2 linked regions of the Notamacropus eugenii genome follow. The protein of the gene in region 1 purifies or fractionates together with the protein of each later gene. This does not show direct contact. Links are inferred from orthologs where the notes say so. Each region holds a gene or a part of one and is shown in the gene's direction. Other genes may lie near its edges.

Region 1 (7,633 bases):
TTTCATGATATGCATTTTTCTGTGAGGAGACCTATAAGGCTTAACTGGACTGCCAAAGGGATCTGTGTGTATGTGTTCATCCTTTGTTGCCAAAGAAGACCATGCCATCAGAGAAATAATGACATGACTTGCATTTGACTTTGTTTTGAGTGAGTGAGGGCTGTGCAGGTCACCAGCCTCACTTGTCCTCCAGAGCCATCTGAATCCAGTGATCAGATATTCATCAGGATGACTGGAGATGACCCAGGATGAGGCAACTGGAGTTAAGTGACTTGCCCAAGGTCACACAGCTAGTGAGTGTCAAGTGTCTGAGGTGAGATTTGAACTCTGTCCTCCTGACTCCTGCACTGGTGCTCTATCCACTGCACCACCTAGTTGCCCCGCCAAAGGAATCTATAACACATAGAAAGGTCAAGAACCTCTAGACCAAAGGGATGGTACAGTTTCAAATTAATCACCCTTGTCGAAATGAGGTTGTATCCAAAATTACTATGTAATAAGGAAATAATTGTAAAAAATGCAGTAAATCACCACACACTTAACCTTTCTGGTGAACTGACTTGTCCCTTCCCTGGGGCAGGTACCAAGATGCCTGTGGGGTGAGACACAGACATATCACAATTACTCTTACCTCTATCCACCTTCCTATCAGGCTAGTACACGACCTACATAAAGGAAGACTCTCTGGGTTACTACGCAATAGCAGTTTGTGTGCCAAAGGATTATTTGGAGAATTTCTTTTTTTTTTTAATTTGAAGATGAAATCAGTTTTGTACAAAAGGCAATAGGCTCATGATTATTCTTGAATTCACCAGTAATAATACTTGGCCTTCTGTCTCCTTAAATACTAATGAAATCTCTGCAAGTCAATGCACTGATTTACCAGTTTACTATTCTCCCCTCCTAATTTAAAGGATGCCCAGTCATACTCTGCTTCCTGCTTGCCTTGGGAGGACTGGTAGCTGAACTCTGAGGATATCAAAGCAGCAATCCCCTGGTTTCAGACCCCTTCTTCCTTCCGGCCTTGAGATTTAAGTCTCACTCTCTCAGGGTGGTGGAGAGGGTGTTCTTTTCCCCCACTGGGCAGAAGGTCATGAACTCATGGGTCCCTGGGCAAGTCTATGTCTTGCATGGCACCACTTCATGTTTGTGTCTTTTTTTCCCTTGGCACCCAGCAGTGGACTTCTGGTCTCAGATAGTGACCAAATGTTGGAAGGAAAAGAATCACCTCTAGGAACAGGAATAATCAAAACCCTTTTGGGTGCTGATTTGCCAGTACTGGGGGTGTGTGTGCATGTGCGTGTGTTGAATTATAAAATAGATAATAAGCAGCTCTCACAAAGGATCTGTTTGCAAATGACCAAAAAAGTAGCCTCTCTTTTAGGTATTAGGTGGTGCAATAGAAAGGTCCCTGGACCTGGAGTCAGGAAGACCTGAGCTCAAATTCTGCTGGGCAAGTCATTTAACCTCTGTTTGCCTCAGTTTTCTTATCTGTAAAATGGGGAGAATAATAACACCTACCTCCCAAGGTTGTTGTTAGAATCAAATGAGATAATAGTTACAAAGTACTTAACACAATGGCTTGCACTATATGTTTTTGTTGAGTTATTTCAGTTGTGTCTGACTTGTGTGACCCCATTTAGGGTTTTCTTGGCAAAGATATTGGAGTGGTTTGTCATTTCCTTCTCCAGCTCATTTTACAAATGAGGAACTGAGGAAAACAGGGTTACAGGGTTAGGTGACTCCCCCAAGATCACACAGCTAGTGTCTGAGGCTGCATTTGAACTCATCTCCTCCTGGCTCTAGGACTGGGCTCTATCCACTTTAATACCTGGCTACTCATAAGCACTATGTAAGTGGTCACTATCATCATTACTATTATTGCTTGGTGTTCTCTTTGTGAATAAAACACCTATCCCCAACTTGATTTATATTTTAATTCTCCCTCCGCCCCCATTTTCTCCAGGGAGGACCCCTTACACTAGAGCCCCAAACAGAAATGTTTCTCAGGAATGGGAGATGGTATGATACTGAAGAACTAAGAGCCTAGCCCTCCTGTTGAGGAAGCTGGTAATCACAGAGCATTAAACCCAGGGGAGGCAAAGGACATGGATTGGCGTAGGTGACCTCAGCCCAGCAGTTTCTAGGAAGCCACTATGTCAGACTAGAAAGGAAGTCCCTTGAGAGCGTTTCTCCAGTTTTGAAAAATCTTTGAATTTGTCTAGCACAGTGCTAGACACAAAATAGGTGCCAAATAAATGCTTATTGATTAATGGATTGCAACTGACTTCAGCTGCCCTCTGCTCCTATAACTCCACTGTTTTCCAACAGTTTCTAAGTTAATGGATATGTCTTTATGTTCCCCATACAGATTTTTTTTCAGTAGGATGTAAATAGTATTTTGATGGCATTGTTTGATTTAATCACATGTATATGCACAGAGAAAGATCTTAATGGGTATTCTCCATTCTTGTTCCTAGAGCATCAGAGAAAAAAATACTAAAACTGCACACATATTATAATACATGTAACAAGGGCCAAATCTGGAGTCCATATGGTTTTGTTTGTTTGTTCTAAGGATATTTCCCGATTCGAGGAATATCATAGAATCTTAGAGAAGGAAAGGGTCTCAGAGGCCATTTGGTTTAACCTGTCTATACCAGAACAAAAATCCTTTCAATTAAGTCCAAACATACCTGACAAATGGTCACCTTGTCTTTGTTTGAAGAGTCTTGGTTAGATGAAGGAGGAGAAAAACTCAAGCTAAAAAGGAGATAATTAGGAGATTTGGAGGTTGTGGGAACTGTGAAGAAGACCAGAAGCTGGAGAGGAACATTCTGGTAAAGGCGAAAGAGAAGTACTTAAGCTAAAAGAGCTTTTCTAGAGGAAGAGGAAGATATGGGCAGAAGACCCCAAGGCAAATGAGGACCGGATAAAACAGATCAGAGGAAAATACAGGCCAAGGAGTAAGAAGCCAGAGCCTGAGCCCATTTGATTTATGGACCAGGAAATAAATGGAATACATCTCCACCTGGGAACATGTTTTTCAGTCCCTTTTAATAGAAAGTAATTCAATTCATGATACTACACTTTCAATCTTCTGGGCATTGAAAATACAACATTAAGAGGAAGGAGGTGGAGTTAGCACCATCTCCAGAAATCAGAGAAAATAGGCATCATAGAGTTGGAAGGGACCTGAAGCTGGAGTTCTTTAAAGTATTTTGTTGGGGATAATTGTTGTTTCTGTATCTACCTAATAGTAAAACAAACAAAAAAATGTACTTTAAAATATTAACTTTATTTATATGTTTATTATGTATAAAATATGTTTATATAAAATATATATTTGTAAGGAATAGCAAGGCTTGCAGTCCTGTGCAATCATCCTTTTTATCATACTATGTATGTTATGGAAATAAATTAAAAATAAAATAATTTTTTTAAAAGTAAGAAAAATTCTGTAATTCAGGCTTTCGTTATTCTGATTAGTCTCCCTTAAACTTCCTTCTTCCCCATATTATTTAAATAAATTAGCTGCTGCCCTACATCTGAAGAATTAGGTAATAGTATAAATTTAGACATGTAATCTTTTCTCTTTCAGCTATTTTGTGTCTGGCAGTACACACAAAGAAAGCCATGCTCTTCAGTGAAAAAAATGTGAGCTCAGTCCAGTGTAACACAACTACTGTTAGTGACATCTCAGAAAAGGGGAATTCTCTAGGGCTATGTCCTATCTTCCTGTGTTTACCTGTCAAATACAGAGGAAACTGAGTTGTGGTTTCCCTCCCACAGACAGGAAGGAGCAGAACTGTCCCAAAAAGCTAAGATCAAGAGCTAGGTCAAAGTACAGAAAAAGGAAATCTAAGTTTATAAGACAGTTTTGTTTTTTTTAAAAAAAGCAAAAATCTGGACAAGGAAGTTAGAATGATAAAAGATCTGCCCTATCAGGTTCCTTTGGAATACCACATGCTTGCTGAAGAGCATGATTTATCTTTCTACAATCTGCACAACTACTTCATAATTACGATTGCTATTAAAGAGGAATACATAACTACCGTGAAACTTTCTTTAAAAAGTCAATTTTTATTTATGTTACTGGTCCCTGAATGTATGTTATCATCTAATGGCATTCCAAACAACTTCTGTGTTAACAGAACGATCATTTTGGCTGTGCCTCTAACCTTGCCTGACCTTGAAATGGGCTTCGGTTACTTTCTCTGGAAAAAAAAAAAGTAGAAGGGTCTGGATTCCTGGATTCTGTGAATCGTACCAGCCCTTCCTGCTCTCCTATTCGGTGGGGAAGTTGGAATTAAGCACAATAAATTTCCTTATGTTTGAATATGGATTCGTATTCTTAAAGGAGGGTGGGAAGGTGACAGAACCTTCAAGTGTCGGGCCGTCCTTAGTGGGTGGCTGGAGTTTTTAGCTGAGATGAGGAGGGAAAGCCCAGAATACACAAGGGCTCGGGAGGAGAGGAAGTGCTAGGGAGAGAGCCCAGGCAGGTCCCAGGGGACGCCGCTCCAAGGAGCCCACGCCTGGGCGGACGCCGGACTCTGTCCCCGGCCGCACCCCCTCCAGGGCGGAGCATGAACCCAGTAGGCGCCCAGCGGGATGCCCCTCCCCTGGGCAGCTGAGACTCCAAAGCTCCCGGGAAGGGTCGGAGCGGGAGGAGGACCCCGGACTGTGCTCGCTTGGAGCCCCCTGACCGGGGCATTCCCTGCCCCCAGCTACCGGGAGCCCGAGGTAGCCTGGGCCAGGAGGGAGGGTGGGGCTACATCTTTCTGGGTTCCGCCAGGTGCCTGGGGGCGGGGACCCCCCCAGCGCAGTTTCCCCTCCTGGCCCCGCGGGCCTCGGTGGAGCCGCTTCCCTAGACTGGGTCGCGGGGGGTGGTCAGTTTCCTCTGTGGTCAGTTTCCTCTCCATCCTTAACCTCGCGCTGTTCTGGGACTCTCAGGGCAGGAGGAAGAGCGCACAGGATCCCCAAAGGGGTCCTCGAATCGCACCCCTGCCCCTCCCTCGCAGTGCGACCCTGCACAAGATGCTTTATAGCGCTGGGCTTCTCTTTGCTCATCTGTAAAATGAGTAAGGGGTATTGGCGATGGACCTCTGAGGGCCCTTGCACCTCAGGTCTGGGTGATCTTATGAACTTTCCTGCCCTGGGTTGGGAGAGGTTGATTTTTCCCAACTTGTTGCTTGATTGTGGTGTTGTGTGACTTGGTCTCACGGATGTTTCATTTTCTTTGTGATTTATTGATGACTTATATAGCTCTAATCCATACTGAGAGTATGCTCATGTGGTATGCTCATCATTAGTTCCTCTAAATTAGAACTTTCTACATACCCATAGTAGGAACGTAGAGTTTCACGGATGGGGGAGCATTTAATCTAAGTAGGAATTTTCTCTGCAGAATTCCGAAGACAACTTCTACTTTAGAGTTTCCACCGAAGGGGAATTCACCGTCGTCTTTTACATCCCAGTTCACTGTGGGGTAACTGTAGCAAGCCCTTTCTTACCTGGAGCTTACATTGTCTCTCTGCAAAGTCTATGCATTATGACTGCAGAGGTTTTGCCTCTCTATCATCCATCCCCTATTCTCCACGGTTTGTTTGTGATGGGAATTGGGGTGCCGGTTGGGCATTTGGGGGCTCTCAGTGTTTTTAGGAAGAAAAATGAATGAATGGTTCGGTATGTATTAGCTCCTCAGCCTTCAGAGAGAGGTAAGAGAAGCAAAAGGGCGGTTTGTCATTTAATACGTGCCGTTTCTGCTCCAGTAGAAGTATCATAAGGTGATTTGCAAAGAAGGATCATTTTTCCTGGAAAGAGTAGAAGAGACACAGCAGGCCAGTGGAGAGTGCTTTAGGTATGACAGTGAAATTAATTTTGCTTCTTCTATCCCCTTTGGTGGGAAAAAAAACTCAGTAGACAAGAAGATGCAAGCCAGCATCAGCTTCAATATAATATGCCACTGAGCTGTAAGGATTTTTTAAAAATTAAGTCAGTGTAAGAAAAATGTGTCTTGCTTGCTTTGACGTCCTTTCAATTCCTTATTGTTTAAATCTAAGCTACAAGAGGAGTGACGAAATAGAAAAGGAAATCATTCATTAGCTAGAGGAGGGAAGGGGACCACAGTGATCTCTCTTGTTTTGCTTCTGTCTAATGAGATTAAAAATTCACCTTTGTGTAAGTCACAGTTTCCAGAAATCTGAGCTCTTCTGGTGTCTCGGGTGCCTTGGCATTGGCAGACACAACTGGTGATGCTGTCATTTGGCTGCTTTTTTTTTCTGTACAGGATTTGAGAACAAATTTTGTTTTAATAGCTACTGAAGAAAAGCCACTACCCTTAGGAATAGGCAGAAATAGGAAGTGCCCTGGTTTCCCTCCTGTAAAGGGACATTTATCAAGGAAAGAAGTAAAGCATTATGTTAATAACATTCTAATTCTAGGCTGGGGGTGGGAGGGTATTAACATCAAAGTATCAATGACCTCCTGATCAAAATGTAAACACTCTCTTTTTAAAATGCAGAGCCTACTTGGGTTTTATTTATGATTACGAATCATAGTCATAGAATGTTAGATTTGAAAGGGACCTTAAAGATTTCTAAGGCCCAAACCACAGATGTGGGAACTGAAGCCCACAGAGGCTGATATTCGCCTAATTGATTAACAGTGGTTGATTGGCCTACAGTGCACTCTACACTATCTTCTTAAGATCGTGGAATGTTAGGAATGAAATCCAGGGGTTCTTAACCTTTTTTGATGTCACAGACTGCCTTTGGCAGTGTCCTGAAGCCTATTGACCCTTTCTCAGAGGAATATTTTTAAATGCATAAAGTAAAATACATAAAATTACAAACAAAACTAATTGTATTAAAATAAGCCCATGAACCCCCTGAAATCAATCTGGGAACCCTAACTTTAGAACTCTTGATTGCATCCAACCCTTTCATTTTTCATATAAGGGAATTGAGATTCTGAGAGATATCCGTTGCCCAATTAATTAAGAGCTAAGTTACCCAGTTAATCAGATGGCTTATACTATGATTAGCGGTGTGCTAAGGTTTTAAAATATTTAGCCAAGCTAGCCACTTATCCTGTTTTATTTCTAATGTTATTTTTCACTAAAATCATTAGTTTCCATAAGTTAATCATTTCTATAAAGCCATAATAGTAATATAGAGTTTCATGAATGAGAGTTATTTAATCTTTGCAGAATTCTGACACCCAACTTCTACCTGAGAATTTCCACTGAAGGTGAATTCACCATCTCCTTTTACTGTTCATTCCACTGTGGGGTAACATTGATTATTAGTAAGCCTTTCCTTACCTGGAGTCTAATTCTGTCTCTCTGCAAAGTCTACCCATTATTCTCACTTCTGCCCTGAGGGATCTAAAAAGAACAAATATAATCCTTCTTCTGTATGACTGAGGTGGTTTGTGGGAGGGCTTTGTTTGAGACAGATACTCGAGGGACTGGCTGATTACGTGAGAGGGGTGTGCTCTGTTGTATGCGGGGTATTGGTGACAGTGGTATTCCGAAAGTTGAGCCATGCTTGGGAGAGCCTGTACTCAGATGTGCACTACCAGGGCCAGTCACTGTGCTTAAGACCTATAAAAATTAAAATGCTTATGAAAA
Region 2 (7,965 bases), on another chromosome or scaffold:
AACACTGTAGGAAGACTGTAAGAATACCTCACATTTTGATCTGTTATTTCCTGTCTAAATATAAATGGGAATAGTGGTGATAACTATATTTATACCTCTTGGTAAGTAGAAAAAAATTAAGGGAAAGATAGACACTGAATGTTTCCCATTAAGCACGTATTAGGACCAATCAAAAGTCTAAGTAAGAAGAGGTTTTGAGGGAATCATTGTTAATTAAAAACAAAACACAAGACTACATTAGTACATTTTAACTGATCATATATTTATAACAATGATAAAATTCTCAAGCATGGATATTCAAAACACAAGGAACTACACCGAAGTAACTCCACAATATTTTGAAACATTTATTCAAGAATACACATTTTTACTTCAAGCATCTTTATTCCTCTCTAAAGCGGAAGTTTTATGTGATTTCAGTATAATTTTAAATTCTTCCTTTATAAGAACAATATAGGAGCTTCTAAATAAAATTCAGCAAATAATGTTGGACAAAATATGGAATGCTCTGAAAGATCTAGAAATCTTCCTTTGTTCCACTTCTAGATCTACTGATAAACTGAGAACAAATCATTTAACTTATTTCTACACTTTAGTTTTGCTATTTGCAAAAAGAAGAAAAACATTTTTTGACCATATACCTAATAATGAAATAACTATGACTTTGAAAGTCAATATAGTCTAGAAATACTAAGTAAAGTATAATGATTATTAAATGAGTTCTTACTACATAGTGAATGGAGCAATGGAGTTGGAGGTGTTTAGGTTAAGGAGGAAGTGACACCTTTATTGCTTCAGCTGATTTTGACTGTTCTTTAATTGTCCCAATCAGTACATTTTCTTGGGGTCCTTCCTAGAGGGAACTGACAGAAGGAGCTTGTCAGTGGGAGAGGGAGCCAGTCCTACCAGATATGCAAGGGAGGAAACCCTCAAAGAGCTAGAACTAGAACGTTTGGGCTTTATTTTCATAAAAACAAAACAAAAAGATTACTTTTATTAAACTGTTTCCTGCTTTCAAAGTGAACAGGTCTCATTTCACTCATCAGGTTCAGAAGGGTATTCATTAAATAAAGATGACCAATGTTTAAATTCCTGCCATTTCAGTAGACACAACGTTGGCTGTTTCCTACTTGAGATCCCATCAAATGTGATCATTGATTAAAACCCGAAAGTCATCAGGTGACTCACCTAGGATGACAGCAAACAGGGCTACCCAGTTCCTACAGAAACCTGAAAAGTTGGTGGTTGGGCTCGGAGCGACATCGCCCCAGGCGTTATCTGGTTCCCGGGGATAACGATCCTGGGGCAAGGATCTTTTCCAAGAGAATCTGGTTTCAATCAATAAAGGGTGCTTTGCTAACGGTTCTTGATTAATTTTAACCCAACAGCGCCTATGAAAGCCGACTTTAGAAGACTCCAGGAAGCAGGATGCGTTAAAGAGAACATCAAGAAATAATGGGGTGAGGGGTATAGGGGACAAGGCCTGGGGAACGATCATGAGAGGAAGGAGAAGCGGTGCTGGAGGGATGAGGAGGACACCCCGACAAGGAGGAGAGAAAGGCCATGTCTCTGAAGCTAAGCAACGCCCCGGATCCCAACCCTACTCCGACCCTGGGCACATCAAGCCTTCCCGGGCATCAGGCTGCCCGCGTGGCGGGGAGGAACTCACACAAGTGTTGGAAAACACACAAGTCACGAGCTACCGGAGGAAAGATCCAGGAGCGCCGGCCCAGACCGTGGAAAGAAGCCCGGGGAAGCCCGGGGCTGGGGCTGCGGTAAACGACCCGTAACTCACCCCTGAGACTCCGCTGATAGTGCCCCAGAGCCTCCTCCAGGGCAGAGTCCCCCAGAGCCTCCTCCAGGGTAGGGTCCCTCAGGGGCTCTGCCGGGGCAGGATCCCCCAAGGCCTTCGCCATGCAGTGACCCCGGCCCGTAGAAGCTCCTACAGAACCTCCTCGGTGGGCAACGGGCCCACAGCCTCCTAGCTTCCAGACCTCGCTGTCAGAGGGGCGCCTGAATGGCAGGACCTGGCTGGCGGGAGGGGGCGGGCGCTGTCCACCCGCGGGCCCCCATGATGGATAGTGGAAGTTGTAGTCCGTCAGGTTCTCGTATTGCCGCTTTCTAGACCCTGAAGAAGTCTACGGAACACTACAGTTCCCAGGAAGCACCGCGCACAGGGAAGAGACAGTTTGGCCTCCAAGCTCAGTTGCCTGGAGACAGCTTGGAGGCTCCACCCTCCCCTTCCTTCAGACTCCAAATTTCCCCCTCCCCCATTCTCGTTTCTTAGGCAGTCTGGAACACCCAACTACCAAAAAAATGAGCTTCTGAAGATCTTTGCCCTACCATTGTTGGTTGTTCTTCATCTTGGAAGAGGACCAAATGACAACACCGTGTTAAAGTGAAATTTCAGGGTGTCTGCTGTGGCTGATCAGACTGATATGAGCTCAGAATGCTCTACCACAGGATGGGCACAGGTAGTCCCCGTGAATATTTGGGCTGGATACTCCAAATTTGTGCATTCCATGTTTACTTTGTGCTGTCTCAATTCTGCTTTGTTCATAGAGCACAGCTCCCTTTCTGATATGGGCACACCATGCTGAGCAGTCCTGTGCCCGTGTCTCCCATGTTGCACAGGTAAATACAAAGTTCTTAAGAAAGACCTTTAGAGTGTCCTTGTATTGCTTCTTCTGGCCACCATGTGATCGCCTGTCCCATATGAGCTCTCCATAAAATAGTCTTTTTAGCAAGCATACATTTTGCATTGGAACAACGTGGCCAGGCCATCCCAGCTGTGCTCTCTGAAGCATCGTTTGAATAGTTGGCAGTTCAGCCCAAGCAAGGACTTCAGTGTCTGGTACCTTATCCTGCCAGGTGATCCTCAGAATTGTCCTAAGACAGTTCAAATGTAAGCTATTCAGTTTCCTGGCATGGCACTGGTAGACTGTCCATGTTTCACAAGCATATAACAATGAGGTCAGCACAATGGCTCTGTAGACCTTCAGTTTGGTAGTCAGTCTAATACCTCTTCTCTCCCAAACTTTTCTTCAGAGCCTCCCAAACGCTGAGCTAGCTCTGGCAATGTGTGCATCAACCTCATTGTCACTGTGTAAATCCCTGGAAAGTACACTACCAAGTTAAGTGAACTTATCCACAGCATTCAAAACTTCTCCATTTGTTGTAACCAATGGCTCCACACATGGATGGTGTGGTGGTGGCTGATGGAGCACCTCTGTTTTCTTGGTGTCAATTATTAGGCCAGAAGTAGCACAGGCAGCAGAGAATTGATCCATACTTTGTTACATCTCAGCTTCAGAGGCTGCATTGAGTGCACAGTCATCTGCAAACAGAAAATCATGCACCAACACTCCCTCCACTTTGGTCTTGGCTTGTAACCTTTTCAAATCGAAGAACTTACCATCAGTATGACAGTTGACCTTGATGCTGCGTTCATCCTCATTGAAAGCATTTGTCATCATGATTGGAAACATCATACTAAAAAAGCATGGGAGCAAGCACAGAGCTCTGTTTCACTCCATTGATGACTGTGAAGGCACGAGAGTATTGTCCATTATCCAGAACCTAGGCAAACATACCATCATGAAACTGACATACAATATTGATGAATTTTGACATAATTCTCCATAAGCCCTCACAACTAACAGTGTCAAAGGTCTTGGCCAGATCTACAGACATTGTGTACAGACCTCTGTTCTGCTCCTGGCATTTCTCCTGGAGTTGTCGGGCAGAAAACACCATATCAACTGTTCCCCAGCCCTTTCTGAAGCCACACTGGCTCTCAGGTAGACCATCTCCCAGGTAAAGGATCAACCTATTAAGAAGGACTCTAGCAAGAATTTTGCCAGCAATGACTAAGAGAAAGACTCCCCTGTGATTGTCACAGGACAATCTATTTCCTTTACCTTTATAGAGATGGACAATGGAGGCATCCTTGAACTCCTGGGGATAACCTCCTCTTGCCATATAACTTGGAAAATTTCAGTTAGATATTGTATGAGCAATGGTTTCCTTACCTTGTAAATGTCAGCTGGAATAGAATCAGCATCAGATGCTTTGCCACATGAAAGGATCCTAATGGCCCTCAAAACTTCTTTTTCAATTGGAAGTTCAGCTAAGGAGAGATTGATTCCAACCTGAGGAAAATAAATGGTCAATGGCCTCAGCATTGATTGATGATGGTCTGTTGAGAATACTATGGAAGTGTTAAGCCCATCTCTCTCGGATCATGTCCTTATTATTAATCAATGTGGCTCCATCAGCACTGAGTACTTGTGAAGCACCACAGGTTTTTGGTCCATAAATAGGTTTTAGGGAATCAAAAGCACTTTGGATTGTTACCATCAGAATAAAGCTGAATTTCTTCTGCCTTCTTACTGAGCCAGGAATCCTACATCTCTCTAAGCTTTGCTTTTGATGGAATTAAATGCTGCCTTCTTAGAGGTGGATGAATTATCCTGCTGGTAAATCCTGTGGAGTTCTTGTTTTTCATTTACCAGCTTCTGAATTTCCCCATCATTTCCATCACACCAGCGTTTGTGAGCAAATGCAGGGATGTACACCAAGCCTCTGAAAGTTTCCCACTCCTTTTCGGCTCCAGTATTGCCAGTTGTGTATAGGCTCAATTTTCCCTCCAAGTCAGCAGCAAACTGTTCATGCTCAGAGAAGAGCTCTAATTTGTTGACATTAATTCTTCTGGTAGTTATTTTGCCTTGGGGCGGGGGGGGGGGGCGGCGCTTTTGATGAATTCGAATATTTAGTTTGGAAAGGATAAGTCTATGACCAGTCCAGCAACTCTGCATCACATATTGCCTTTGTCACTCTCCCATCTTGTCTGTCTCTTCTCCTTACAATTACATAGTCTATTAGATGCTAATGTTTGCTGTAAGGGAGAATCCATGAAGTTTTATTGTGTTTAGGTAGAGGGAAGACAGTGTTGGTTTTGATCCATGGACTCCTACAATTAAGCGAATGAAACGTTATGACTCCTTTTTTACGGTTCCATCTTCGATTACTACTACCAGGAGTAGCCTTGGCTGGAGAAAAAAACTCAATTTCAACAGTGAAAGATGTGTAGTTCCTGGAGACTACAAATCCTAGCATGCCAAGGGAACTGGCCAGTTGTCGTGGAGTTGGCGCACTGCCCCCTGGGATCTGTAGTCCTTGTTGGTTGCAGTCCAAGCTAATGACAGTAGTTTCTTCATTGTTTCTGCCGGTCCTAGGGGCACGCTTGCGCAGTGGGCTGCTGCGAAATCGTGTGGGTGGGACAACGACCCTCCAGGCAACTCCTTTTCATTGTCTGCCTTTGGCGCCTGCGCAGTAAGAGAGAGCTGGGGGAGGAGGAGGGGGCAGGGCTCCCTCCCCGGCCTCTCCTGACGCGCCTGCGCAGTGGGCGGCCGCTCTCTGCCGTTACCGCTATGTGTGGGGCGTGTGTGGAATAACGTTATTGCCGAGCACGGTGAAGAGAACGGGGAGTCTAGGGGCGACGGCAGCGACGACGACTACGACGACTACGGCGACGGGTTGGCGGGGGGACGGCGTGCGAGAGACTCACGGGACGCGACGCGCCCCGCCTCCCCCGTCCGGTCCCTCTCGCTATGGTGAGGGGTAAGTGATGCGCTCTGCTCAGCCGCCTGGCTCAGTGATGCCGTCGCCGCCGCCTCCCCTTCTCCAGATCCTCTTTCTAGGAGAACCCCTGGTGTGCGGCCGGGCTTTCGGGGTGGGGGGAGTGCAGCTGGGAGAGGAAAAGGGGGGGGGGTGCTGCTTTCCGGATGCTCCTCGCGCCGCGCCCCCCCCCCCCCCGCCCCGGGGGATTCGGCGGCCCCGCCTCCCGGCCCCCCCCTTCCCTCTATTCCCTCCGGGCTCCGCTGGGCTTTGCTACCCAGGCGGCCTCGGCGGCTGCCGGCTGACTCCTCCCCCTGGAAATGTGCATTTATTCATTTTGTGTTCCGTGGCTTTGTGCCGCTCCTCCCCGCGCCGAGCGGAGGGCGCGAGGGGACGGATGGGCGGGCGGGAAAGAGCCGCTAGCGGCGGGGACACTCGGGAAGGGGACCAGATCGTGCGTGTGTGTGTGTTGGGTGGGGTGCGTCTGTGCGTGTGTGTGCGTGTGTGGCGGTGTCAGGTCCCGCCTGGCCGCGGTCGCAGCCCCGCCGTCCTCACCCTTCCCTCCCCGGAGGGAGGAGGCGGCCTTCGTCGTCCCCCTCATTGTCCCCGCGATGCCCCGGCGGGTGTCGGCTTTGGGTCGGGCTCCTTCCGTATGGTGCCCGGTGTGGGTCTGGAGGCTGTGGGGCTCCTGTCCGCGTTACATAAGCCTCCTCCTACGTGGGTCTCGTCTTTATTCCGGATTTCTTTTGTGTGTTTTTCCACAGCCTGTATGTAAGCCTCTGGAGGGCAGGGCCCGAGTGTCTGAGAATCTGGAGGTGTTGTAGCGCTCCGTGGAGCGAGGCTCCCCCAGGCCGGCGCCGGAGCGCGCGTGGGGAGCCCGCGTGGGGAGCCCGCGAGGGGCTTTCTTTTGTTTTCCTGCCGTGTGGATCCTGTACTGGTGTGCCTTATTTCGGAAGAGTTCTTTTGTGTTATTCTTCAATCAGCCGTGCCCAAGGCGTGCACTCGATGTTTACGTGTTTGTTTTAAGGAAACATCACCGGGTGATGGATAATATGTAGATGAAGTTTTTCATGATTCAGTTCCTAAATAGTGTTGTTTATAACTGAATACTGGTCAGACCGCAAATAGAGGGAAGGGAGGAAAGGACAAAGCAGGATGAGGAGGAAATCAAGAGAAAGGGGGAAATGCTGCTTTGAATTCTCTATCTAGGGTTGTCACTCAATTATGAAAATGCCAAGTGGTTGAAGAACGTGTTTCAGCCATTATGTGAAAGCCGGGTTTGCAGTGATTGCTTTCCAACTTTGAAGATAATTGCCATGTACCAGCATAATAGACTCATGTTAGGAAGGCACCTTATCATGTACACAGTCTCTCTGTTTTGTAGATGAGGAAGTGAACTCAGGTGTATACATTGTGTTTTGTCTAAGATTTTTTGAGAAATTAGTTGCAGTCTCCAGAGTAGCATTTAGGAATGCCTTTTCCTGAGTAGTTTTTTTTTTTTAACCCCTTTACCATAGTACTGTCTTTGCAGAGGTTGAACTGAATTTTTTATTTAGTACAGAGTGCATTTTTTTTGCAGTACTGTACATATTCTTTGGGTTTTCTTTCACAATCAGAATAATTGATAATGATTTTACACGTAAATTTTTAAAAATAAGAAGCCAAAGTTCTAGACAAATGAAATTAGGGAAATGAAACTTATGCGTAGGCATCATTAACTTGTAGAAAAATGGGTTCTAGTCCTAAAATGGACTTTTATCTGAAGATAATTTGTTATATATGCTCAATTCCACTATAAGTGATCTATCTGATCTTGACCCTCTATTACTTCTCCACCCCCAGATCTATGATGTTTTTGGTGTAGGGAACTCCAGTTAGAGGAAATTCCCTCTACCAGTGCATATTAGCAATTGTTCTGTAACTAAATCTTAGAGCATTGTTTGAGGCACTGAGAGAGTAAAAATTCTTTTCTTAGGTCACTCCTTGCTTCTCTATGATAATATATAATGTTTGCAATTGTAGCAGCCATATTGAAACCATAAGAATCAAAAATAAATTCAACAAGGTAAATAATAGTTCTTTTGTGTTCCCTGGCTAAATAATAAAAATAACTAGCACTTACATAGAGCTTTAAGGTTTGCAAAGTGCTTTACATAAGTTTTTCAATTCTCTCAGCAGTTCTATAACATTATTAATATAAGGTAACCGAGACTGAGGTTTCAGGGACTTACTCAGAATCGGACAGGTATAAGCTTCTCAGGTTGGGAGGAGAAAGAACAGTCCTGAGAGTGAGAAGCAGATTGGGAAATCAAATGAGCATAGCAAGGAGTTCTTCATGAACATCAG

What was found.
Region 2: the proteins of CCDC68 (region 1) and CEP170 purify together in Homo sapiens (co-immunoprecipitation; 3 studies listed by BioGRID and IntAct, counting the BioPlex papers as one, with this or other methods). This does not show direct contact. The link is inferred for Notamacropus eugenii from reciprocal best matches to the Homo sapiens genes CCDC68 and CEP170.

What each region holds. Positions count from the first base shown.
Region 1 is NC_092875.1:436,187,103-436,194,735, forward strand, and holds the start of CCDC68 (coiled-coil domain-containing protein 68), read left to right. Parts: upstream 1-4,577; 5' UTR 4,578-4,743; intron 4,744-7,633. UniProt on the Homo sapiens protein: Centriolar protein required for centriole subdistal appendage assembly and microtubule anchoring in interphase cells. Together with CCDC120, cooperate with subdistal appendage components ODF2, NIN and CEP170 for hierarchical subdistal appendage assembly.
Region 2 is NC_092873.1:404,072,356-404,080,320, reverse strand, and holds the start of CEP170 (centrosomal protein of 170 kDa), read left to right. Parts: upstream 1-4,888; 5' UTR 4,889-5,622; intron 5,623-6,174; coding exon of another isoform or gene 6,175-6,220; exon of another isoform or gene 6,221-6,448; intron 6,449-7,965. Other genes in the region: SDCCAG8 (serologically defined colon cancer antigen 8), read right to left, coding at 1,796-1,916.